Astyanax mexicanus: one gene and its partner. The protein of the gene in region 1 purifies or fractionates together with the protein of each later gene. This does not show direct contact. Links are inferred from orthologs where the notes say so. Each region holds a gene or a part of one and is shown on either strand. Other genes may lie near its edges.

What was found.
Region 2: the proteins of transcriptional-regulating factor 1 (region 1) and deoxynucleotidyltransferase terminal-interacting protein 1 purify together in Homo sapiens (affinity purification with mass spectrometry; 3 studies listed by BioGRID and IntAct, with this or other methods). This does not show direct contact. The link is inferred for Astyanax mexicanus from reciprocal best matches to the Homo sapiens genes TRERF1 and DNTTIP1.

The regions. Positions count from the first base shown.
Region 1 is NC_064421.1:17,469,549-17,481,897, forward strand, and holds the start of transcriptional-regulating factor 1, read left to right. Parts: upstream 1-6,818; 5' UTR 6,819-6,973; intron 6,974-7,105; 5' UTR 7,106-7,158; intron 7,159-12,066; 5' UTR 12,067-12,349.
Region 2 is NC_064412.1:6,322,461-6,335,087, reverse strand, and holds the start of deoxynucleotidyltransferase terminal-interacting protein 1, read left to right. Parts: upstream 1-7,190; 5' UTR 7,191-7,539; coding exon 7,540-7,614; intron 7,615-8,118; coding exon 8,119-8,189; intron 8,190-8,314; coding exon 8,315-8,411; intron 8,412-8,656; coding exon 8,657-8,755; intron 8,756-9,163; coding exon 9,164-9,229; intron 9,230-10,386; coding exon 10,387-10,443; intron 10,444-12,627. Other genes in the region: pcif1 (mRNA (2'-O-methyladenosine-N(6)-)-methyltransferase), read left to right, coding at 276-558. UniProt on the Homo sapiens protein: Increases DNTT terminal deoxynucleotidyltransferase activity (in vitro). Also acts as a transcriptional regulator, binding to the consensus sequence 5'-GNTGCATG-3' following an AT-tract.

The DNA of each region.
Region 1 (12,349 bases):
TTCCCTGCTGTCTTTTTTCGAAAAAACTAAATACGGTCACCCATATTCACAGCTTATATGAAAAGCGAGATTTAGCGGTCATCGTACATCTACAGTTAGGACTGCACGTGGCACAGTGCACCACCGCACTGGGTATCGGGGTAAAAATGGATTTAGATTTCGCACAACAGAAGCCTGGTGTTTGTGTCGCTAGTGCTCTTTCTCCTGTGTAGATATATCACATATTTTACTAGCTGTATAACATTTGTGCATATTTTGCATGTTTTCTACGCATTTTATTTTTGTCTGAATTAAGCCATAAAGCCTTAAATCAGCATTTACCTGTCACTGCGTGCATTTACAATCAGTTATAGTACAAAATTATGTCCAGCTATAGTTCAAACTGAAACTCCAGTCGGAGTAGGACCCCATGCAGCCAGCTAGCTAACCCAAAGTGACCTGATAGATCTGTCCAAATATTACATTATGTTTTTTAAAACAAATAGCTTTTGGTAAATAAACAGAAATCTTCTGGTAATTTATTTTTCCAAAACTTATCCAGGTCTCGAAATTTCAGGTTTTTAATGTTTTTACAAAAAATTCCAAAGTGCATCGACTTGAACAAACAATCCATAAATACATTGAAAAAAATAAGATAATTGATTACATTGAATTGACTTGTTTCCATCAGTCTCACACAAATACATAACGTCACCAACGAAAATAAATAGAGAGAGGCCAGTCAAGATAACTTTTTTTGGATGATACATCATCCCAGAAATTAATTGCAATAATTGTTTTTTTAACAACAATAAACTTTTAATTAATCATAGTTTGGGAACTGCCAAAGTTTTGCTGCATATTTCAAGTTTTTTATTTCCCTTATTCTTATATAAATACAAGCAATCGAGGTCAAGATCATATGATAATTATCACCCAATATATATGCAGATAGTAATTAAGTAATTATTGTGCTGATGTAATTTACATTGAACTGATTATTTGTTCCATTGCAGAGGCTTAACATTTGTATGTATGTGTTCTTCATTCCCGAATACAGCTGAAACAAACTTATTTATGGGTTCTAACCAGATACAATGAGCTGCTAGTTTTCTAGCGCACAAAATGCGCACAAAATGAAATCAAGTCATTTTATACAGTTTTCTTCTATGTTAGGGCTGGGAGTTTGCTACGTCTGCTGTGCTGCCCGGTTAAGTTGAATAATTCTTTTAAGGGGTTAACTCACAGAATTTTAGGAAACCTTGGATAATTAATTTTTTTTATTAGATTATGCCCCAAAAAATTCCCTGTACACTATTGTTATCTGAATTCACAATGCTGAATGTTCAGCAATTAATAGTATTCATTTTACCTAATACTTCTCATATTGTCTATATATATATACATGTGAAATAAAGATACAATGAATCGTTTAATACGTTTGCAACTGTTGTGCAACTATGTTTTATCAGATGCCAACTGTCCCTAAATTGTCCACTCTGTTGTGTAGCTTGCTGTGACAGTGTGGACAAATGCATGCAAGTGAAAAAAATGTGATAGAGCGTGGAAGATATGATATCTGTATATTCAGAAGTAGGGCTGGGCAATATTGATTTTTTTTTCGATATTTCTCGAATATATATATATAAGCAATTCTTCATTCTACATTACGATTTTTAGTTAATTATAACCAGTTTTATGTTTTTCAGTTTTAATTATAAACAGACAGCACAATTTAAACTGATGAACAAGCTACATTTTCCTTTACAATTATTTTTTTTTCAGGAATAGTAAGAAGGCCCTTACATTCAGCTTTTATATTAAATGCAGTGTAAATATAACATTGTTGTGTTTCAGGAAGAAAAAAAGTGTAAAATATGAAAATTACTGCCACATACAGCTCTGGAAAAAAGTAAGAAATCACTTTAGTTTCTGAATTAGTTTCTCTGATTTTGCTATTTATTGGTAAATGTTTGAGTAAAATGAACATTGTTGTTTTATTCTATAAACTACAGTCAACATTTCGCCCAAATTACAAATAGAAATATTGACGTTTAGAGCATTTATTTGCAGAAAATGAGAAATGTTTGAAATAACAAAGAAGATGCAGAGCTTTAAGACCTCAAATAATGCAAAGAAAACAAGTTCATATTCATATGAACAAGTTTTAAGAGTACTGAAATCAATATTTGGTGGAATAACTCTGGTTTTCAATCAAAGTTTTCATGCATCTTGGCATGTTCTCCTCCATCAGTCTTACACACTGCTTTTGGATAACTTTATGCCACTCCTGGATTCACAATTCAAGCAGTTCAGCTTAGTTTGATGACTTGTGATCATCCATCTTCCTCTTGTTTCTATTCCAGAAGTTTTTAATTTGGTAAAATCAAAGAAACTCATCATTTTAAGTGGTCTCTTATTTTTTCCAGGGTTCTTTAGAGGTTTCTGACAGAAACACAAGCCTACCCACTCTGGCAGTTTCTATATGTAAAGATGTACATTCTCGATTATCCTATTAAAAATTATAATTTAATTAATACATTATAATATATAATAAAGCCCTAGTCTGAAGTCTTATACATATAATAACTGAACAAATAAAAACGTTAAAATTAAAGTTCTCTGAACGTTTTGAGGGACAAAAGCCTCTCAGAGTATTGTTATAATGACCCAACTCTGTGTTGAAACTTTCCACAAACAGCCTAGCTACATCTGCTGGGGATGAATGACACACACACACACACACACAGACAGAGAGAGAGAGAGAGAGAGAGAGAGAGAGAGAGAGAGAGAGAGAGAGAGAGAGAGAGAAGAGAGAGAGGCCTGCGTAAAAAAATATTAAACGCCTTTAACTCATCCAAAAAGCTCTACATATGAAGAAAAAGTGTGTTTTCCTCGTTTGTGGGGGTAATAAAAGTGTGTGAGAGACCTCAGGGTGAGCACGAGCACGAGCACAGTTACATACAGAGTTTACAGCCTCCTCACAACTTCCTGTAATTAGGGGCAGGTTGTGCCCCATCTAAATAATTAATGACAGCTCAAATTTACCACACAAACTAAAGTAAACGGTGTGAATGACAATGACCGACCTGTCTGAAGCTGTCCTGGTGGCCGGCTTCTCCTTTATCTCCTTGTTTTTCTGCCCTGTTTCTCTAAAGCGCAGGTGGCTGCCAGTTTCGAGTCTTGTCTGGGGAAGGTAGCGGAGAGACCAGGCCCCGCCCCCTTCCTGATTTCTGTGTAGTTTCTGGGTGTGAGAGCCTGTTGCTCATACATCCCTCACACTTCACTGCTTCTGCACAGATCATGCAGGGCAGCTTACCTTACTGTACCTTTTCTTATCTTTACTTAGGTCTGCTGTTTTTTGTTTTTTTGTGACAATATTTTTATTTGGAATTTGGGAGTAATGTTGTCCGCAGTTTATAGAATAAAACAACAATGATCATTTTACTCAAACATATACCTATAAATAGCAAAATTAGAGAAACTAATTCAGAAACTAAAGTGGTCACCTATTGTTTTCCAGAGCTCTATTTTATCCTATAGCTAACAAGCAGTTTGGTGGGTCAAAAACTGTTGTGTTTTAAGAGTTTAAGGTTAACGCTTTTTGCTTTTATATAGATCAATCAACACTGACTGACACTACAGTCCCAAACTAAACTTGTGCAGTAGCCGAGACTGTCCCCTCTTCACTATTTCTACATGTGAAAACTCATAACCTATACAATGCACTATTATACAAAACAGAATTACAACCCGAGATGAGTGTAGTAACAAAAGAGAACTACTTCATTTCTGTACTTTAGTATAGAAGTAAAATGCTGTATCTGTATCTACTGGAGTACTTTTTTTACACTTTCACTTTTACTTTACTACATATTTTAGATGAGTTTATTACCTTTAGCCTGATATTTTTTTATGTCCTGCATCGTTACTCGTTACAATTATAAAAATGTTATATATATGAATCATTCCAAACCCACATTCTCACTACCAGTCCAGTAGTGACCAGTATGCACTGTCACCAGATTTAATGAAAATGCTCATCAATGAGCAAATCAAGTGATCAAGCTAATTTTATAAGAAAAGTCACTGCTGCTGTTCTGTTTTTCACTCTGAGAACTTTCCACTGCTTTCTGAAATAACAACATAACAAAAGTAATTTACTTTTACTTTCAGTACTTGAGAAATGCATTTATAAACTAATAAACTACTTGCAATACTTAAGTAAAACAACATATTCAATACTTTAATGCTTCCACTCCAAGTATGGAACTTAAAGAACACTACAACTTCTACTCAAAGTCACTTTTTTGAAAGAGCACTTGAAGTTTTAGTCAAGTCTAAGTACTTTAGTACTTTATACTTCTCTGATTATAGCTGATGTTGCAAAACAGCTTTACAGAAATCGGGTAGCAGGACAGAGAATCAAAAGCAACATAAAACATAAAACCCCAGTGAGCAACAAAGGCAAGAAAAAAACTCCCACAGAGCTGGAACAAGAAACCTTGGGATAACCAAGGCTCACAAGGGGGGGCGCATCATCCTCTGATCAGGCCACTTATTAATTATTGATAAAAAAAATCACTATACAGCCACATAAGTCTTATATGTTCAGGTATACTTTTATAGTTGAAGTATTGGTGATTTAATTAATGAAAGTAGTATTGATCGTTTAATTATAGCACTAAGATTTTTTAGACAGAACTAAAGAATGTCATAACCCCAAAAAGGAGAGCACTGTACAGGGCACAGCTACATCTCCACATCGCTGGAACATGGGCTAGGTAGGTTCCAGGTGGGTACGGGTTTTATGTTGGTTTGTACACATGCTGTTACTGGGATCCAGTTAAGCGTCCAAAATAGACCCCATCATTACAACCCACCTTAATCACACATCGGTTCCATCTATGTGCCATATGCAATGTAAAACCCACACGGGGCCCGTCTTTACTGCCCCCTGGTCCAATCAGTGATGGTGGCCCAACACCCATGTAAAACCAGTGAACAAAATTTTCTGGTTGCAGTTGGGCTGCCTATACAGGTCCCAGGTTAGAATGTTATCTAGGAAATCTGCCATAGTGTTCCTGTAAATCATTTATACTGAATGACATGGGTTTCACTTTGTTTCCACGTTTCATCACATCAGCATAATAATAATAGTAATATTCCATGAGGTGGATGCTGGAACAAATAGCAAAGTAATTTGTGCCAAAAGGTTCGACATGATCTTAACAATAAGTTCCTGACAACAAACCAGCTCACCAGCTTTGTTTCCAGACATATGAGTGGAAAAATATTATTTTTATCCTGTCTATGTTTTTGTTAACAGTTGGGCACTTATGTTTGACCTCTGGAAGGTTTATCATAGTCTAACAGGACATATCTTTATATATATTTATATTTCAAAGTCATATTTCATTACTGAACAACTATAACTCAGACTAACATGATCTTACTGTTCTCATCAGGCTTGCTTTTATGTTGTAATGCCACCATGTGGGCTAATGATGAGCTACAAGCGTTTTGACTGGTCACAAATAATTATAATACTTGACAAAACAGAAGAGACACTGACAAAACCTGAGGCACAAACCCCAATCACAGACATTAGACATTATCTTAATTAAATAACTAGCCATTTTTAAGCTTAATTGTTGTTCTATTTATGAATCCCAAAGTCACCCTGTAATGTCCAAAGATAAAATATTGCAGAAAATCCTGAAATTTCCATTATTATTTTGGAAATAAAAACAGGAAATAAAACAATTTGTATTCTGAGATTTATCACAAGCTGTCTCAGGTTACGCCATTATTTTATATTAATTATTAATATTAACATAAATTTCAGAAAATTTCACTGCATTTTCACTTGCATTTCCGATTATCAGAATAGTTTCTAGGATGAGTGCATCTAAAATCACTTTAAACATACTAAAATCTACCACACCAGTTTATTTATATTCAGTGACTTAAAGTGTTGCAGTGTAGTGATGAGCCACAGGAAGTGCTGTGGGAGTGAAGTATTGCTATACACAACTTCCCCAAATGTGCACTCATAACTCAAAACTAGATGGTAACTATGGACATTTTATATTTAGCAAAGAAGATCTTGGCTTAAAATAAAAAATATACAACACAATGAAAAAAAATACGATGAGAAATTTCTGCGGCAATTCAGTTACAAAATCTTGCCGGTTGGCAGGTGTGATTACTTTGATCAGATAAAAAATTAGCAGGATGTGCGATGCAGTGCTGCTTCAATTCTCATTTCTAAGTAAACATGTAGTTGAATACTCATTTCTGAAACATATAGGCTACAGAATATAAAAACAAAAACTATGAGAGTGGACTGGAATGACTTCCTGCCACACTGATGAACATGTGAAGTCAACAACAATCTTTCAGTAAAAATGCTCTTAGATTAGCATAACTTCCTGTTAGTCCCACTTTTCACTAGGGCCAGTTATTGACCAGTGGTATTGCACTTGCCTGATTCATTATGATGATGATTGAAGCACTATCTTGTTCTATTTTATACTTTTTTTTTACAATATAAATTCGTTTTTTTATTTTTTCAGGTTAGTTATGATCTTTAGAAAGACCCATTTTTAATCTAATTAATTTGGGCAATTATTTAGGTTGATTTGCCTTGTGCATAAAACGGTTGACCTCCTTATTTTAACAATGTGAATGTGAATGCATATGGCGGTTTAATCTTGTCATTGTAGCGTTCGTGTATGGTTCCTGGCAAAGCTGAGAAAAGTACAGTAATATAACTTTGTCCACAGCTCTCATAATTCAGGTTTCCAGGCGGGGCTTGAGCAGCACTTGTAGCACATTTGACAGGTTGAGAAAATAGTTTGCGGTTGTGCTCAGGAAGCCTCACAGCATAGAAAGAAATAAGTCTGCATTTCCTGAACTTCCTTGAACCCCTGAAGGCCATCAGAAATAGCAGTTACTATAAGAGGAGATGTGCAGAATTCCTTACTCAGCAGTAAGTATGTTGAGTTCCCTGTTTGGCCAATGTCCTAACAAGATTTTCAGTCTTTGCACGCTTCAGTATTTTCTTAGATGATGTGTGCATGCTGGTTGTGTTTATCTGTTCACTGTATTGTGTTTACTGCAGCACTTCTACTGACCTTGCTAAAGAGTGGACCACACATTTAGAACAAAAAAGAGGTAAGACTTGTTACTTATCATTTGTGCTCTGTAAACTGCAATAGTACAGTTATATAATCATTAATAACTAGTTATGATCAATAGTACAACAGTACATGTACACGCTAAAACCCTAAACAGTTAAAGCTGCAATTTACCCATTGATATGGTGGACATACCGCATATAGCCCTTAATGTTTATCATTTATTTAGAAGCAATTCAGTATTTTAAAAATGTATTTCATAATTAATAGTCCAGTTCATAATTACTAATTACTTGACCTAGATATTAATTAATATCATATTTAGGTTAATGCACTGGGCCCTCCTAACAACATTGCTTTTTTAAAGTTAAACAAATTTAACTTTAACTAATATTTACATTAACAAATAATACAAATTGTACAATTTTATTCAACCATTTAAAATATTTATATGTGCACAATTACTGTATATTTAATTCACAAGTAAATACCAAAAAATCGTAATTGTGGAAAATACAAACACCACTCTAGGTGGAAAGTTTTGTAACTATGTACAACCCTCAATAAAGAAAAGGTATGCTTACAAAGAGGAAGGGAATTATATAAAAACTTCCAGCACGCAATATTTACTGACTGAAAGGTCATAAAGAAACTCCAGTTAAGGGGAACTGTCAAAGCAAGATCTGCATCACCAAGAAAACACTCTGAGAGAAGGGCTCAAACGAAGTGGTGATACACTATTCTACTGTGCAGTGTTGCTTAAACAAAAATGACCTATGTATACTGAATTCAATCAGTATGTACAGTAAATAAACAAGGTCATGGTACCCCAGCTCATGGCTTTGGTTGTGAGGTAATTTCTTGTGAATGAGGCTGAACACTGGTTAATAAGCTCATGCCACGTATGGTTAAAACTGTCCATACAAACAGACAAGCATCTCCGGCAGAAATCACATTCACATCAATTGCAGGAGACCTCACACAGAAATCCTGTAGGTCAGTGAAGCTTTCTTTAGCTTCTGTGGAACCTGGAAAAAGTCATGAGGCACAACAGTAGACTTTGGGCATGCCACTGAAGGAATTATCTGAAGGAAACTTGTGAGTGAGACGTTTTTAAAACGGACCCTTTTACTTACAGTCTCAAAAGAAGCAGAATTTGATTAAATGAACCCCTTTTCAACTGTCAAGCATGAATCTGGATCTCTTAAGGGTTGGGTGGTATGGCAGCCAGTGGTACACTATACACTGCACAGTTTATGGAAAAATGGATTCCACTAAATATCAGCAAACTCTACACACAAATATTTACACTGTCAAAAAACTAAAGCTAAAAGTGTATGAAATGGACATCATTAAAAAAAGGTGGTGAACAACTTTAATCTGTGCCACAGTTTTTTTTTTCAAATCTGAGTGTATAAAATAATGAAAAACAATATACATTTTATTCTAGTATTTAAATTATACAAATACAAAGAACAGCACATCAACATTTGTGGCAAAAATGTATTACAGTAGCTTGCTTGCAATAGTTTTTTTTTTTTCAAGCAAAATGTTTCATTTGAAGAAATGTACCCATACTACTTTTAAACATACCTTTATCTATTTTTTGCTAATTAACTATTAATATATACACATTACTGTACAAAAGCCACCTGAGAACTATGTTATTTAGTTTAAGTATTTAGTATAATGCTTCATAGGCAAAATAAAAAAAATGACTTAATTAATTGACCTGTATCCATAAGAAATCATTTCTGATTATGCACTTTAGTTAATGTGTTTATATACACTTGTGGTATATAGTTTTATAAGTAATTGTTATCTTTAATTATCATTATGTTCATATGCTGAACGTTTGTATGGCCAGTGAAAGGTTCTCATCAGGCATTTCACGCTGGGAAAAAAAAATAAAACTTAAAGACTTAAAAACTCTAAATTAATGAAGCTTGGATGTCTCAGGGTGCATTCCATCTGCGTAGTAATTACTATAAACTAATGTTAACTAGTCTTTGTGTATGAACTGTAGACAAAAGTGTAAACATTTACTCAAATATCCACAATGAATAGCCAAAGCCTCTATTTTTTTAATGTAGTTATGATGGGCACTACTATCCCACAATGCAATGAGAAGAGGAAAGGGGGGATCTACTTACTTCTGAAACAACATTAGGAAAAATGGCAGTGATGAGGAAAGTGCAGCAGCAATGGCGTCTGGAAATCTTGCAGTGATGTATGTTGGCGTAGCAAAGGCTCCATTAATTCCTTTTGGTACAAAAAGCTAAAGCATTAATATTTTGTATATTAACCTGCCAAACTTGCATTATTAATATTATTTTACTAGGGATGCAATTGGGATGCAGTCTCTTACTAAATATACTGGGGTAATAAAAACTGTAAATAAACTACTGTACTGTACAGAGTAAACCAACAGGTTTAATTGCGGACATTCAGCAAGCAGTGATGCCCTCCATGAGTCATCCTGTTAGTGTCAGCACCCTTGGCAGACGGCTGCACAATGCAGAACGACATGCATGCAGACCATTACGATGACTGCCCTTAACACCCATGTCAACATCTCAGAAGACTGCAATGATGTCATGCCAGATTGTCATGAAGTGACTCAAAATAGCACTGTATCATCAAAACAAAACAAACAAACAATCCGCGTGTGGGTAGGCACTGTGGTCAGTGCAAAGATGCACAATTTGTTGTTACAAGTCACATGTCCAGAGGGCCTGGGAACTGGTGTTATTGAGTGGGGTGCACATTCAAATGATTTCAGATCACCTTTGGTCTTTATTACAGACACTTTGATAGAACAATAAGTTTAGCAGTTAATAAGGTCCTGCAGCCTGTGGTCAACCTTTTTTGAATGCACACTCTGGTGCACTACTCCAACAGGGCAATGTTTATCCTCACAATGCAGACGTCTCAAAAGCTCGCCCTGACGACACAGATCCTTTGCCATGGCCAGACCTATTCCTGATTAAAAATGTGTGTGATGCTCTTGGGCGCATTATTAACTCTCCAATCTACTGCAAAATCTGCAAAAAAATGTGGACGAATATTTGAGCTGCATGGGATGGAAAATTGCCGTTTTTTTGTGATAGAGTATACAATCATTAACAAAAATATTGTTACACCCAGAAAAAATTGTCGCATTGCAATGTTATTAGGGAGAAAAGTACAGTTGCACTCATCATCAACGGTGATGATTAATTCTACATAGTTTGATGTTTGCAGACACTTGCTCCACCAGAGTTGCTTTTGGAGTCAACTGTGCTAAAATAAGGGTGCTAATGGATGATTAATTATGGTTTAAGACATATCCTTAAGACATTGGCTGAAGCTCCAGCACTCCACAGCTGTTTTACAGCATGTTTAGAATCTGATCACAACTCCACTTGTGGATACTTTTAAAATTCATAAAAAAGTTTAGACTGACTGACCTTCATTACTTTTATTCTTTACTTAGTTGAGTAGTTTTTGCCATAACATGGATTAAAACATTACACAAATAGAGCTATTTACTACCTCTTCACAACCTCTACAACTGATCCTCTTAAACACATTAAGAGAGCAATATATTCAAGTAATTAACTCTTGACAAGTTAACTGTTAACTGAAAGCCATTCCAGGCGACTCTTTCTCATGAAACTGGCTAAGAAAATGAAGAATCCAAAATATAAAATTTATTCTGGTTTGTTTAACCCTTTTTTATTTTTGGTCTATATACTGTATATATATATATACACACACATATATATATATATGTGTGTGTATATATATATATATATATATACACACATATATATATATGTGTGTATATATATATATATATATATATATATATATATACGTATATATATATATATATCTATATATATATATATATACGTATATATATATATATACATATATATATATACGTATATATATACGTATATATATATATATATATATATATATATCAGCAAAATGAGTGTTTTTACCTGAAAAATGCAACACATATGATTTGAACAGATGCAAATATACATAGATACAGTAAAACGTAACAAGGAATCTATTAAACTCAGATGAGAAGAGATAAAAATATGTTTTAAGAAAAACAATGCTGTAAAAGCACTGCTTTTTGTAAAATTGCTGCTTGTATTTATTGTAATATATATCTATATAGGTCAGTTGGAACGGTTGCTTTTATACTAACTGGTTGAAGGCAATGACATTCATTTAGTCACTCACCAGAGCGAGTTGAGGATGGAAACTCTCAAAACCACAAAGGCCACTTGAGTTTCTGACACTCACTTTATATCTGATTCACACCACAGCCCAATAACACTCAATAACTTATACGTTATTCACCTTGTTCTAAATCCAGTGTTGGAACTTCTACTAAGAAGAATCTAATAATCTAATATTCAAAAATATGTTAGACTGTATACTGATCACTAAAAGTGGAGGGTATAAGAAATTAAACATTAAATAATTCATGCTGGACACTAATAACTAAAATGCATATGACAAGCTTTCAAAACCTTATTGGTGGTTTGTTTACGGTATACAATAAGGCCTGTGAACATTGATGAACATATACTTTATCTTTTTTTCTTTTTTCGAAGAAGGCTAGATAAAAAAAGTGGCAGGCCACTATGAAAACAGCTCATGTGACAGGAAATGATAAGATGGCGCATAGCTGAATTACATACATATTCTAGAGTGTGGGTGAGAGAGGAAGTCTCAGACTGAGTCATGGTGTGACTTTACTGAATGTGTTTAAGGGACCAGCATACAGCATTAAAGTTCATTTTGGACGTCCACAAAAGGATTTGTCTCTGTTTCAAGAATTTCTCCTCTTCTTTGATGTTGAAAAGTCTGGTCGGACCATTGTGATTTTCTTTTAACATAAATTAATTCTTATTTTTTTGCCAAACCATCGACTGCTTAGAAAGTACAAGTTTGGTGGAAGACTCTTTGTGATTGGTGGGACAGTTTGTGCTCCTGTAGCAACAGAGGTCTACGGACATCAACATCAACCCTAAGAATAGTGCTAGAAGACTACACCTTCTGAAGAAATGTGGATATGGTCTACGGTGAGTCGTCATGGTAATTGCAACTATTATTGTACAAACACTCTAAACGCTTGTTTAGTTTCATGTAATTTTGTTTTGCATTGTTTTAATGGGACGAGATGTGAGTGATGTGTCTTGGAACGTTGTGCATTTTAATAA
Region 2 (12,627 bases), on another chromosome or scaffold:
GAGATGTGAAATCTCTGCATCTTTTTTTGTTATTTCAGCCATTTCCGATTTTCTGCAAATAAATGCTCTAAATGACAATATTTTTATTTGGAATTTGGGAGAAATGTTGTCTGTTGTTTATAGAATAAAACAACAATGTTCATTTTACTCAAACATAAACCTATAAATCAGAGAAACTGATGCAGAGAGATGTTTTTGTGTGTCTCAACAGCATCTTTTACTATCACATTAGTCATGAGTTCCTATCTCATTCCCATTTTGTTGTTTTCTACCAGAGAGGAAATGTACTACAAGGCGGTTCATGGAACAGCGGTCATCTTCCTGCAGAACAACGCTGGATTTGCCAAGTGGGAGCCCACCACAGAGAGGATTCAAGAGCTTCTGGCAGCCTATAAGGTCCCTGGACGCTCGCTGTCCTCTCCTGGGCCTTCCTCCTCCAGTGCCGTAGACAAAGACTCCAAACCAGGCCAGGAGCGTTCGGCGAGCATGGACGCCCCAGGAAGCCGAGACAACAGCAGTCCTGTTGACAAGACTGCACCAGAAACGGCAAACGTTTAAGTGTGTGTGTGTCTGTGGATGCCTGTCTGTGTGATTGTGTGTGTGTGTGTGTGTGTGTGTGTGTGTGTGTGAGAGTGGCTTTGAAAGAGTGCTGTTGGGTTGAGTGAGACTGACTGACTCTCTGCATGTTAAGTTGCTTCATGAGAGAGAACGAGTGAGAGAGAGAGAGAGAGCAGGAGAACGAGAGAGCTGGAGCGAGTGACTCGCACCTATTTACTTTTCTCTGCCTCAACTATTTAAAGAGTTATTCTGGGTTTTTATTATTAATGTTGTCCTAGTTATTGAGGGGTTTAGTTTTTGTTTCGTTCGTTTTTGTTTTTTTTAATGATGTAGTGATTGTTCGGTCACTAATTCTTACATTTCGTTGTTGTTGTTACCGTTGTCATCTGTATAAGACGTGGTGATTCTGGTCAAGTCCTTCTTTTCTTCTGCCTTTTTAACTTCGTGCTTTGCTCCCTGACAGAGTCGTGGGACTGTCGGGGTAGAGGATGGAGGGCACTGCTCTCTAGGATTTTTTTGGATGTTATTTTTTTATTTTTATTATTATTATTATTATTATGGCAACAGAACGGAGGTGGACCAGCAAGTAGGCAGCTATGTTTATAAGCCTTTAAGATATGATGCACATTACAGAGTAGTTGTAGTCCTTGTGCGTAGTTATTAATTATTACTACCTGTGCTAGAGCCAGTTCCTTTTTACGTTCAACGCTCATCTTTAGAAGATGTAGAAGCTCCTCTGAATGCCTGTGCAAGCCCCAGTGCTCCCTTTTCTGGAATAAGATGCCGAAAGAAAATCAATCCTTGGTGTCTAGGAGTCCAGGCTTGGTCTGTGTGGTTCCTTATCGCCCTAAAAAAGAACAGAAAAGAAAAGAAAAGGTCAGTTTTTAGACAGACACGGCTGTATGCACGTATGTTTGTAAATCAGTTCCACGCTTCAGTTTACCTTTGTTAATAACAAATGCACAGAGGATAGAACGTAACAAATGCAACTGGCATAGTTAGTACTAAACTTAGTTTAGTAGAAAAACAGATCACTATTTCCTCTGTTCTCTCTATCTTTTGAGCTGTAAAATATGTGCTTGCGAGAGCTTTTGGTATCTTTTGGTATCTTTTTGTCTTTCTGTGACAAACAGCAGAATCATCGGAGCTCCATTTAGACAAAAGAAAAGAAAAGAAACAGGTTTCATGTCCGCATAATGTGTGGATGTTTGTTTAGAGCCATTTCAGAGCTGTTTGTTACTAAATATTATAAACAGCTTTCAGTCATGTTAGGCCACCCCGCTTCTCTTTGAGTCTACCTCTCATCTGTGAAGCTTACAAGAGCAAGCAATAGTTAAACGTTACAATTAGAGCTAGAGTTAAAGGAGAAATCCGGTGTGAAATGCACTGGAGTTGTATATAGTGAAACATGATGATGAGTATGATCTTTTATCTAATAGCCCACCTCCATTCTCCGTAAGCATTAAGAAATACAGTGCTAAAAGCCGATGCTCCCAACAGACTTACAATGCTAGTGAAGGGGGCATAGCGTTAACCATGCAAAGAAATCACTATTTTTACACCATTAAAAAACTTAAAGTAGTTCCACACTTCACGGTTAGATTTCTTTACTGAAAATCCTGACATTTAACCCTTTTTAGACCCTGTGTCCATTGCAATGGACAACATCTCTCTTCATATTTTTTGGTATTCCTACATTTAAAATATTATACTTCTTTCCATCATACTTCTGCATAGAACCTACACCGCAGCCTATGCAGCGCTGTGTACGCTACGCCGTAGCTCGACGGGCACCTCTCTGGAAATGTAAATATGCAACGTGGACAGCTGTGATTGGTCCACCAGGCCTCATGTCCCTGTCTACACATTCCCGGCTTCGCGGTTTAAACTGCAGAGCGACTGATACGCGCACACAGAAGTATAAACATGTTCTGCTGTATAGTGCACTCTCGCTGGATATGCGTAGGCTACAGTGTAGGTTCTATGCAGAAATAAAATTTGGGCTTTATACAGATTGAGGTTTGTTGTCCAACAGAATTGACATTTATCAGCCAACCAAAAACCTTAGCTTCACCTTAGCCCCGCCCACTGCTTTGAACAAAAGAAGAAAAAAAAAATCATGTTATGAGTTATTTTGACTGTTTAGGGATGATTTGGGAAACTAAAAAGTTATATAAAAGTTATATAAAATAAAAAAACAATGTTTAACAAATTATTTAACTGCAAATAACTTATAATATTTTTATAACTTATAAAAATACAATATATAAAAATAATAAATATTTTTAATCACTGGAATGTAATTCAGGTCTGAAGAGGTTAAAACGAGGCAATGAGAGACTGAGGATTGAGGAAAAGTACACAGATAGGTTATTAAAAACACTGTTTATACAAGCAGTACCTTCTCTTAGTATTCAGTGACTTGTCGGTCGCCATATCCTGACTTCATTTTAGGATTTCACAGCTCTCAGTGCCTCATTTTAGATGTGAGGGTCTTCAGAATTTTACCTATGAAGTGAGGAGCTATTTTGAGCTTGTTAATGGTGTAAAAAATTGTGGGCAAATCTATGCCCCCATTCACTAGCATTGTAAGCTGTATTTCAGAATGCTGGGGATTAATAGAGGCAGGCTCTTTTAACTAAAATGTTTTCTTTGTTTTTATGTTTCACTACAACCCAACTCCATTTCACACCGGATTTCTCCTTTACAGTAGATTGTCATTCATCCATGTTTTTAAGTCAGTTCCAGCACTCTTTCTTCTTCTTCTTCTTCTTCTTCATTATTTAGTCCTCAGATGATTGAGTACTTCAGTACAGTGCAGAGTACCTGTTTCATCTGCCGATGTTACAGATATGTTAAAAAAATATATGTCCAATATTTGTTTGTTTACTCCAGAACGAGATTAATCCTGATCACTGGGCAGCATATTGAATGTAAATTAAATAGCGGGGGGGAAGAAACATGGAGAGAGAGAAAGAAAGAAAATAAAAGAAAAGAAAGAGGAGGTAGACGAGGAGAGACTTCTTGTTAAAATTGTTGAAATTGTTAAATTTATTAAATTTGTTGATTATATTTGGCTCTGTTTGTTGCAGTTAGTAGCACACTAATGTGTATGATTGTTTTGTTTTTTGTTTTGAGGGATCCTGTATGCTTATATGTAGTATCTTCTTTTATTTTATTTTATTTTATCTTCTATATCTGTTGTGTATATTGTCACATCCCTTTATATATACCTGTCTTATTTTTTTTGTTTGTTTCCTTTATTTGTGTTTCTCTTTTTTATTATTTTTATTTTTTTTATTATTATTATAATAATATTAGTTTTTTGTAAGTAATGAATTGTAACATCATCAAAATTCTTGAGGAAACGGTTTATGTGTACCTCCTGTCTGACATTAAAACAAACAAAAAGATATATATATATATAGATTCATAACCATAACATCCACATTGTTTAAACTCTCATCATCCTCTGAATTGCTCATTTTACAGCATCGAACACCAGATGGATTTTCTCATTCCTGGGTGTTTTTCCGTCACCAGCAAAACTGTAGATATTGTATAGAAAAGCATTATGAAGTATGTTTTTATTTTATTTTATTATTATTATAATTATTATTTGTTTGTTTTGGTCTTTTTGTGAGCTTTTACGGGGGAAAAGAGTATTGTACATGTCTTCTCCATGCTTTTTATTTGTTTTAATTTAACATTTTTTTTAAACAAATCTGTTTATGAATTCTACGATTTATAAAAATATGTCGTTTTAAAACTAAACCAAAGTGATAACTAAAGAGGAGAAATTTATCTTGTATGTAAAAGTAGAGTTGTGTATGAGCAGTAATGAATAGTGTAACCAGCAAATGACTCGTTATTTTTATAGAAGTCTCCTTTTTGTTTGTTTTGTTGGGATGATTTCTTTGTTTTCTGCATGATCAGATTCTTCACAATCACAAATAATTACAAGTAGCTTCATTTTAGCGTTAGCTTGTCTGCTTTGTCATATGGGTCTTTATTGATGGTTTTGCATATATTCCCGTCTGTATCTCGATTGATTGATTTTACCCTGTCACACTGTTCTTGCATTTGTTTGTTTTATTGGATTTAAAGCACCATGAATGTCATTGCCCCCCCCCCCCCCCCCCCCTCCTAATTTTGATGGACAGAGATGGATTGAATGTAAATAATATTTGTGCTTAAATCGTTAGTTTCCTCTTCCTGTATATTATCAATGTTGTGGCATTTCTCATCTTCTGAATCAATATGAAGATAAACATCTGGGTCAGTTTGGCTCTCAGTAAACTCTATTGACACCATGTATCCTCTGTGTACTTCCATTATTTATTCATTTATTTATTTATCTTTTTTAATGGCACACTCTTAGCAGAAATAATCTTACATCCCTGTGTCCTCATATGGGGACATTACATTTCTGCTTTTTTGCACCATGATACTTAATTTTTTTTTTTTTAAGTATCCTTTTTAGCCTTATATGAAGACACTGCATTTTCCATCTAGTGGTCACATGACAACCTTACACTAAGTTGACTGAGAACAAGATGGTGGGAATCCCAGTCTAAAGTTTCTACAGCCAGTCCAGAAAGAAACATGGACCAGGTAAAAAATTCTAATCCAGTTTTACATATGAAACTATGTTATTTGTTTACTATAAAAAGCTCAAATTTATTTTTTGGTCTGAGTCTCAGGAAAATATAATGTTTTTAAAGAGTCGAAAGGTTTAATGTTACTCTTTGGGTGCTTGATTGATTAGTAATTGTATATGATTCTATAACTATTGTCTATAAAGTTAAGAACCCTTCAAGGTAGGGGTGATTGATATGTCGCTAAAATAAAATCCGCAGAAAAAAGGACCCATGTAAAAAATCTGTTTTCTCTAAAACAGTAACTTTAACCTTAATGACATCTGTCTGTGTACATCAATCTGATTATCTATCTGACTATCTGTGTATATCTATCTACCTGTCTGTGTCTGTATGTCTGTATATCAGTCTTTTCTGTCTGATTATCTGGCAATCTGTGTATATCTACCTGTCTGTCTGCTTATCTATCTCTCTCTGTATCTGTCTGACTATCTGTCTGTCTATCTGTTGATCTGACTATCTAGTTATCTTATAAAACTGCTAATTAGTCGTTGCAAAGCTCTTTAACACTGTTAAAACCTTTAAAAAAATATGAATTATAGTACATTTATTACTGAATTACATTTATTTAGTTTTGTTTCAGCATTTTTAAGTCAAATCTTTTGCTAAACCCTAAAAAAAACTCCACTCTGTAACTGTTTTCTACCAGAAGCTTCAAAAGTGCCACAACAGTAATGGCGGCTCAACCGATACAAACAGCCTCGTCTCGCAGCCACGCCCACGATGGGCTGTGCGCATGCGCGGCGCTGCCACGGCTTTTATTTTGACGCCGGTCAACCGGATGTGTGTTCTGAAGTAATTTGACCTCAGCTGGTTTACAGCAGAGCCTGCACACTCCATACTTTACAGCTTTAAATCAGGAAATGACTGTAACCACTAGAGAGAGCCCGCGAGTGAGACCTCAATAAATAGGTAAATGGAGATAAATGGCTACAATTCAGTATTCATTGATTGTCTGGGATATTCTATTTATTTTCGAAGGTAAAATAAAAGTACCCTGTTGAAAAATTTTAAGCTGGTTAAGCTCTTTGCTATTGAGTGTTTGAATCAGCATTTTGTAAATTTGATTTGAAATATTTAATAGAATATTTCATAGTTTTATGTTTTAGTATTTAGTAATTAGTAGGGGAAATTTAAAATGACCAGGATTGAATGTCAATGTAATGTTTATTAATTTATTGTTCTGACGGTTTGAGGCTAAATCCAAAAAGTAGTGCAGTGTACAAGAAATAAGTTTTAATCCATTTTTCTAATTTTAGTTTTTTCGTCTCTGCCCCTTACAATATGAATTTCAGGAAAATTAAAAAAAAAAAAAAATCCTGATTTTTTCAATTTTTGCATTTCGCATGTTGGAAAATTCCATCAAATTTGTGTTACAAGATCAAAATTTAATTCCACCTCTTGTACCACATGTGATGTGAATGACAATAAAGCCTCCTTGAATTACTTGAAAAATGGACAAATCTGAAAATCGAATTAAACTCCTAAACGTTAGATTGAACATTAAAAATTCAGTTCTAACGATTTTCAGATAAAAAAAAAACTATTTAATTGTTTAGATAAAGTTAATGATAAATTTAATAGATAAATCTATTATTATTTAGATCAAATCTAATTAGTTAATGTTTCTGAGTTTTTGATCAAATAGATTTGAATTTATTTGTCTAATTTATATAAATGATATATATATATATATATATATATATATATATATGAATATTTATAAACCTGTTCTTTTTATCTGAAACTTCTTTTAATGTTCACCACACAAATTAAAATAACGTTTATATAAATACCAGGCAAATTTAATTAAAATATACAAAATGCATATTTTTTGATGGTCAAGCTGGTCTACAAGCATGACCAAAAAGTATTTTGCAAAAAAACAAAATTACCTGCATGTTTTAATTTTTCTAGAGATACAGCCAGACCCGTAGCGCTTTCTGCAGTGGGTGATCTCGGTTACGGACGCTCTCTGGTTTCAGCGCAGCCTCGCTGTTTTGAAGCTCGGATGAGGAAGAGAGAGAGACGCTGCTCGTTCTGCGGGTTTATTCTCTGTTTTTCCTGCGTTCGGTGCCGGATTTTATACGCAGTTTAATATATAATAACTGGGAGAATAATGCAGTGAAGAGTGTTAGTTATTACACCGCGCTGGATCGTCGAAATCCGCTGTGTTTATAAAGAATAGAGTTGAGTCAGCCCCGCGGTCCGTCTGTCCGAGTCCCGGGAGCCGCTGTGAACTCGGTGAATCGGTTCCTCGGATCTGAGAGGACTGTTCTGCTGGTGATCTGTGTTTTACACTGGTGATTAGTGGTGATCAGTGATGGGAGCGCACAGGAGCGAGGGCCGCAGAGACTGGCTGCAGCAGGACGTCGCTGAGCAGCAGGTTCAGTCTGTGGTGAGTCAGAGTCGCTTCACTGAACTGATGAGTCATTTCTGCAGTTCAAGGGTCGAATCAGCTGGAGCAGAGGAACCGACCCCTGTCTGTCTGCCTGTCTCTCCACTTTTCTATCTATCTATCTATCTATCTATCTATCTATCTATCTATCTATCTATGTGTGTTTGCTTGTCTGTTTTCTATCTATCTCTGTGTACCTGTCTGTTTATCTGTCTGACTGCTTATCTGACTATCTATCTGTCCATCTGCCTGTGTATCTGTCTGTCTGTCTGTCTGTCTGTCTATCTATCTATCTCTGTGTGTTTGTTTGTCTGTTTTCTATCTATCTGTCTGTGTATCTGTCTGTCTGCCTATCAGTCTGACTGCCTATCTGACTTAGCTACCTGTCTATTTATCTGTCTATCTGACTATCTGTGTCTATCTGTCTGTGTATCTGTCTGACTGCCTGCTGGGAGCTTTTCTGGGATGGATTTATTTACTGGTTCTATTTTATGTGTGTGCTAGAACCCGTGGAACATCATGATCAAGCACAGGCAGGTTCACCGCAGGGGTAGACGCTCACAGATGACTGTGAGGTAGGTGCTTGTTTTTATTTTTGAGTGCTGTAATAGTTTAGCTTTAAATAATAGAAGAGTATTGTGTCTGTTCTGTGTGTCTGTGGAATAGAAATGTCAGTAACTCGTCTTTTTATTTCTCTTAGTTACACTGATCCTGTCATCTCCATGGATCTCTTGCGGAGAGTTCTGCAGCCCAGCTTCAACGAGGACATTTTGGCCGTCTTCAGAAAATATATGAAGGTAACAATTAGTCCTAAAAATTAATTTGATAATGTTGATTTTTGCAGTATGACTCTTTCTAAGACTATTTGACTCTTTTGTGCTATATGGTTTTATTTTTATATGTCCATCAATTCAAGAGGGGTTATTTAAACATAGTGCAGTTAAAAGAGACAATATTGAAACTGTAACACCCATCACTCATTATTTCATTAATACTAATTAAGGATCTGAATCAAACTGTTGTATGTTTTTCATTTTTGCAGTTTTTTGAAAAGGCAGCGAGCAACGTGAAGGAGAATGTGGGGGAGGATGTGCAGACGGATCAGCTTATCAAAGAGGCCTGTCGGAACTGCTTGGAAAATGTAAGAATAAAAACTTTGCTCTAGTAACTGTGTAATTAAAAGTAAAAAAAAAAAGGAGCATCAGCAGCCGGAGTCCAAGAGAGCACAATAGGCCATGCTCTATATGGGTGGGTACAGTAGATGGCATCACTCCTAGTGCAATGCTGGTCAGCAAGGTGTCTGTTAGCTGTTAGTGATGCTGCAGCAGCGACATCTGGAAAGGAGGCGGAGTCTGGATTCACATGTATCAGAGAAGACTAGTCTTGTGCTTGTCTTTACCATCCTAGTGTTTGGGGAGTTACAAGGTTACAAGCGAGCTTATTGTCCTTCCGAATTGGGGAGAAAATGGGATAAAACTAGTAATAACTTGTTGTTATTAAAAGTTAAAAGGTGACTTGTGGCTAAATTTGTGTAATTTTACTTATCTAGGCAAAACAGCTCTTTCCTGAAACAGAGAAAACTGTCCAAAGACCAGTTTTCGATCCAGCAGTGAAGGTAAGGATCAACCAGTAATGCTAAATCTGAATTGAATCTGTTATTGTTATCGGTTTGTCTCAAAGTTTCATCATATCATTACTGCCATGAAACCCCCTGTATCTTCATTTAAATCTGACAGTTGTTCTTTAACAGTGTGTAAAATTTGAGGAAGAATGAGTTAACAGAGATGCCCCAAAATTAGGGTATTTTTTGGACTTTAAGGCGCACTTAAAATCCTTTAATTTTCCCAAAAATCGACAGTGCATCTTATAATTACGGAGCAGTAAATCCACTCTGCTGATGTACAGCGTTATAAGTGTGAGTTTTCAGTTAAGTTTCTCCAGCACTAAGGCTAGGTGCAGCAGCATTAGCATTAGCTGCTAATCGCAGCTCTAGTTCTCTCATCGTTCAGAAGCGAGTATATCGGACTGTAGTCTGCGTGTGTTTGCCTTGTTAAAACAAGCTACGTGGGACGAACCACTAGCTGATAGTAACCTGGGTTACCGGAACACTCAGGCTTCCTTAGTCTAGTGCTATCAGACAGCATTTATTAGCGCTAACTGTGGCTGACTAGCGCTGCTAACCGGGGCTAGTGCTCACCTTTGGACAAAATTTTAGCAATGTAAGCTTACTATAAATAAGCAGAAGTGCTTTACTCACACAAATAAACAGTTTTAAGAGAGAAATCTGTGTAGATTAACATCCAGTGCTTGTTTGCTTTTGTAAAAGTTTTTTATTTTATTTTATTTACAGTTTTGTTACTTAGGCGCCTCCAACAGCAAGACCTTCTGAATTAGAAGGGAAACATGGTGATAGCTTTGCTCACTTCAGTGTAGGCATTCTTACTAGTGTCGCTTAATACCCCTAATAATCCGGTGTGATTTATGTATGATAATAGAGCAGAAAATAGACGTTTATTGATAGTGCACCCTATAATCCGGTGTACCTTAAAGTCTGTAAAATACGGTACTTGGAATAAAATTTTGTAAATTTTTTTAACATTGACTTTATTTAAGAAGTTAAGTTAAGCTAAGAAGTTTTGTGCTGCTCCTGAGAGATGAGAGGTTTTTGCATTACCATGACAATATTCTGATTAAAGTCATTCCATGAAATCTGTGGAGTTCAGCCTCCAATGTTAGTGACTGTCCTGGGTTAAGTTTCTGTCTGTTCCGCAGCGCTCACGGCAGATTGAGGATGAGTCCAGTCAGAGAGGCAGCCCCATCCCAAAAAAGGTAGGCTCAGTAATAAAGTTGGTTATTGTAATTATAAATCATAAGACTTGATTTTATATTCTGAACATTGTAAACTTTGAGCATTAATCTAAACCAGTGGTTCTCAAACTGGGGCAGTATTACATGTTTTTTTCTGTAAATGTGTTTTTTTTATGTGTATATTTGCTGTTTATTATTATTTTGCTTTAGACAACACCCAAAAAACAAATGGTAGGAACTTCCACTTGGGAAATATGATTCCGCATTAAGTTCATTAATCCTTGTCCATGGCTTACTGCATACTTATAAATAGCAGCGCTCTGATATGCAGCGCTGCTAAGGACCAGGGTTGAAAAGGGGGGCTAAAATAAAAAATCCTAAAATTAGAGGAAACACTGCGATATTTAAATAAACAGACAAGCAACGCAAATTAAGTCATTTTAAAATTATTTTGTCATTTCACTATTTGGCCGAACAATATGAGTCATAACATCAATAACCACATGATAGCATTGTGTAATGAAAGTAGGGATTAACAGTAAGAGATAAAAAACCCTAATGATTCCTGTAATTCCACTACAGTTTCTGCAACACACACACACACACTCCAGTACACACACTGTTACACACCTAATCAAAATTCATGGCCATACCATGCTCACTTAATATAGAGTTATCATCAACCATATTTAGATATATATACAGTGCCCTCCATAATTATTGGCACCCCTGGTTAAGATGTGTTCTTTAGCTTCTCATAAATTGAGTTTTGTTCAAAATAATATAGGACCACGATGGGAAAAAAAAGTAAAGTCCAACCTTTAACTCAAGTAAATTTTAAGGGGGAAATAAAATCCCTGACTAAGAAATAATTATTCTTCATAAAATCACCTGTTCCACAATTATTGGCACCCCTAACAATTCTTAGGAAATAAATGTAATAAAAGTATTTCTGTCACTTCTACAGTAGTTTACGTTGATCAGAGTATGTAGGAACATTTAATTAGTAATTCACAACTTCCTGTTTCCCTGGGGTATAAATATGACGTGACACAGAGGCCATTTATCTTCAACATGGGAAAGACAAAGGAACATACCATTCAAGTGAGGCAGATGTGTGTTGACCTTCACAAGTCAGGCAATGGCTACAAGAAAATCGCTACTCGCCTACACCTGTCCATATCTACTGTCAGAGGAATTATTAAGAAGTTTAAAACAACTGGAACAGTGGTAAACAAGCCTGGACGAGGACGCAAGTTTATTTTGCCACCACGCACAGTGAGGAGGATGATAAGAGAAATAAAAAGTTCTCCAAAGCTCACTGTTACAGAATTGCAACAAATGGTAGCTTCTTGGGGTCACAAAGTCTCCAAAACAACCATCAGGCGCTATCTACATGCCAACAAGCTGTTTGGGAGGCATGCACGGAAGAAACCATTTCTCACTCACAATCATAAACGCAAACGTTTGGAGTTTGCTAAGCGGTACTGGGACTTCAACTGGGACCGTGTGCTTTGGTCAGATGAAACAAAGATAGAGCTTTTTGGCAACAAATGCTCTAAGTGGGTCTGGCGTAACACAAGAGCTGAGTATGCAGAAAAGCACCTCATGCCCACTGTGAAATACGGCGGGGGATCAGTGATGCTGTGGGCCTGTTTCTCTTCTAAAGGCCCTGGGAACCTTGTTAGGGTGCATGGCATCATGAATGCTCTAAAATACCAGGACATTTTAAAACAAAATCTGGTGGCTTCTGCCCGAAAGCTGAAGATGGGTCGTCACTGGGTCTTTCAGCAAGATAATGACCCTAAACATGTGGCCAAATCTACACAGAAATGGTTCACCGCACACAGAATCAAGCTCCTCCCATGGCCATCTCAGTCCCCAGACCTCAACCCCATTGAAAACCTGTGGGGTGAGCTGAAGAGGAGAGTGCAGAGGAGAGGACCCAGGTCGTTGGATGATTTAGAGAGAATGTGCAAAGAGGAATGGTCAAAGATCCCTCTTTCTGTATTCTCCCATCTTGTGAAACATTACAGGAGAAGATTAGGTGCTGTTTTGTTGGCAAAAGGGGGTTGTACAAAGTATTAACATCAGGGGTGCTAATAATTGTGGCACACATGATTTGATGTTAAATAATTATTTCTTAATGTGGGATTTTTTTCCTACTGAATAAATTCACTCGAGTTAAAGGTTGTATTTTACTCT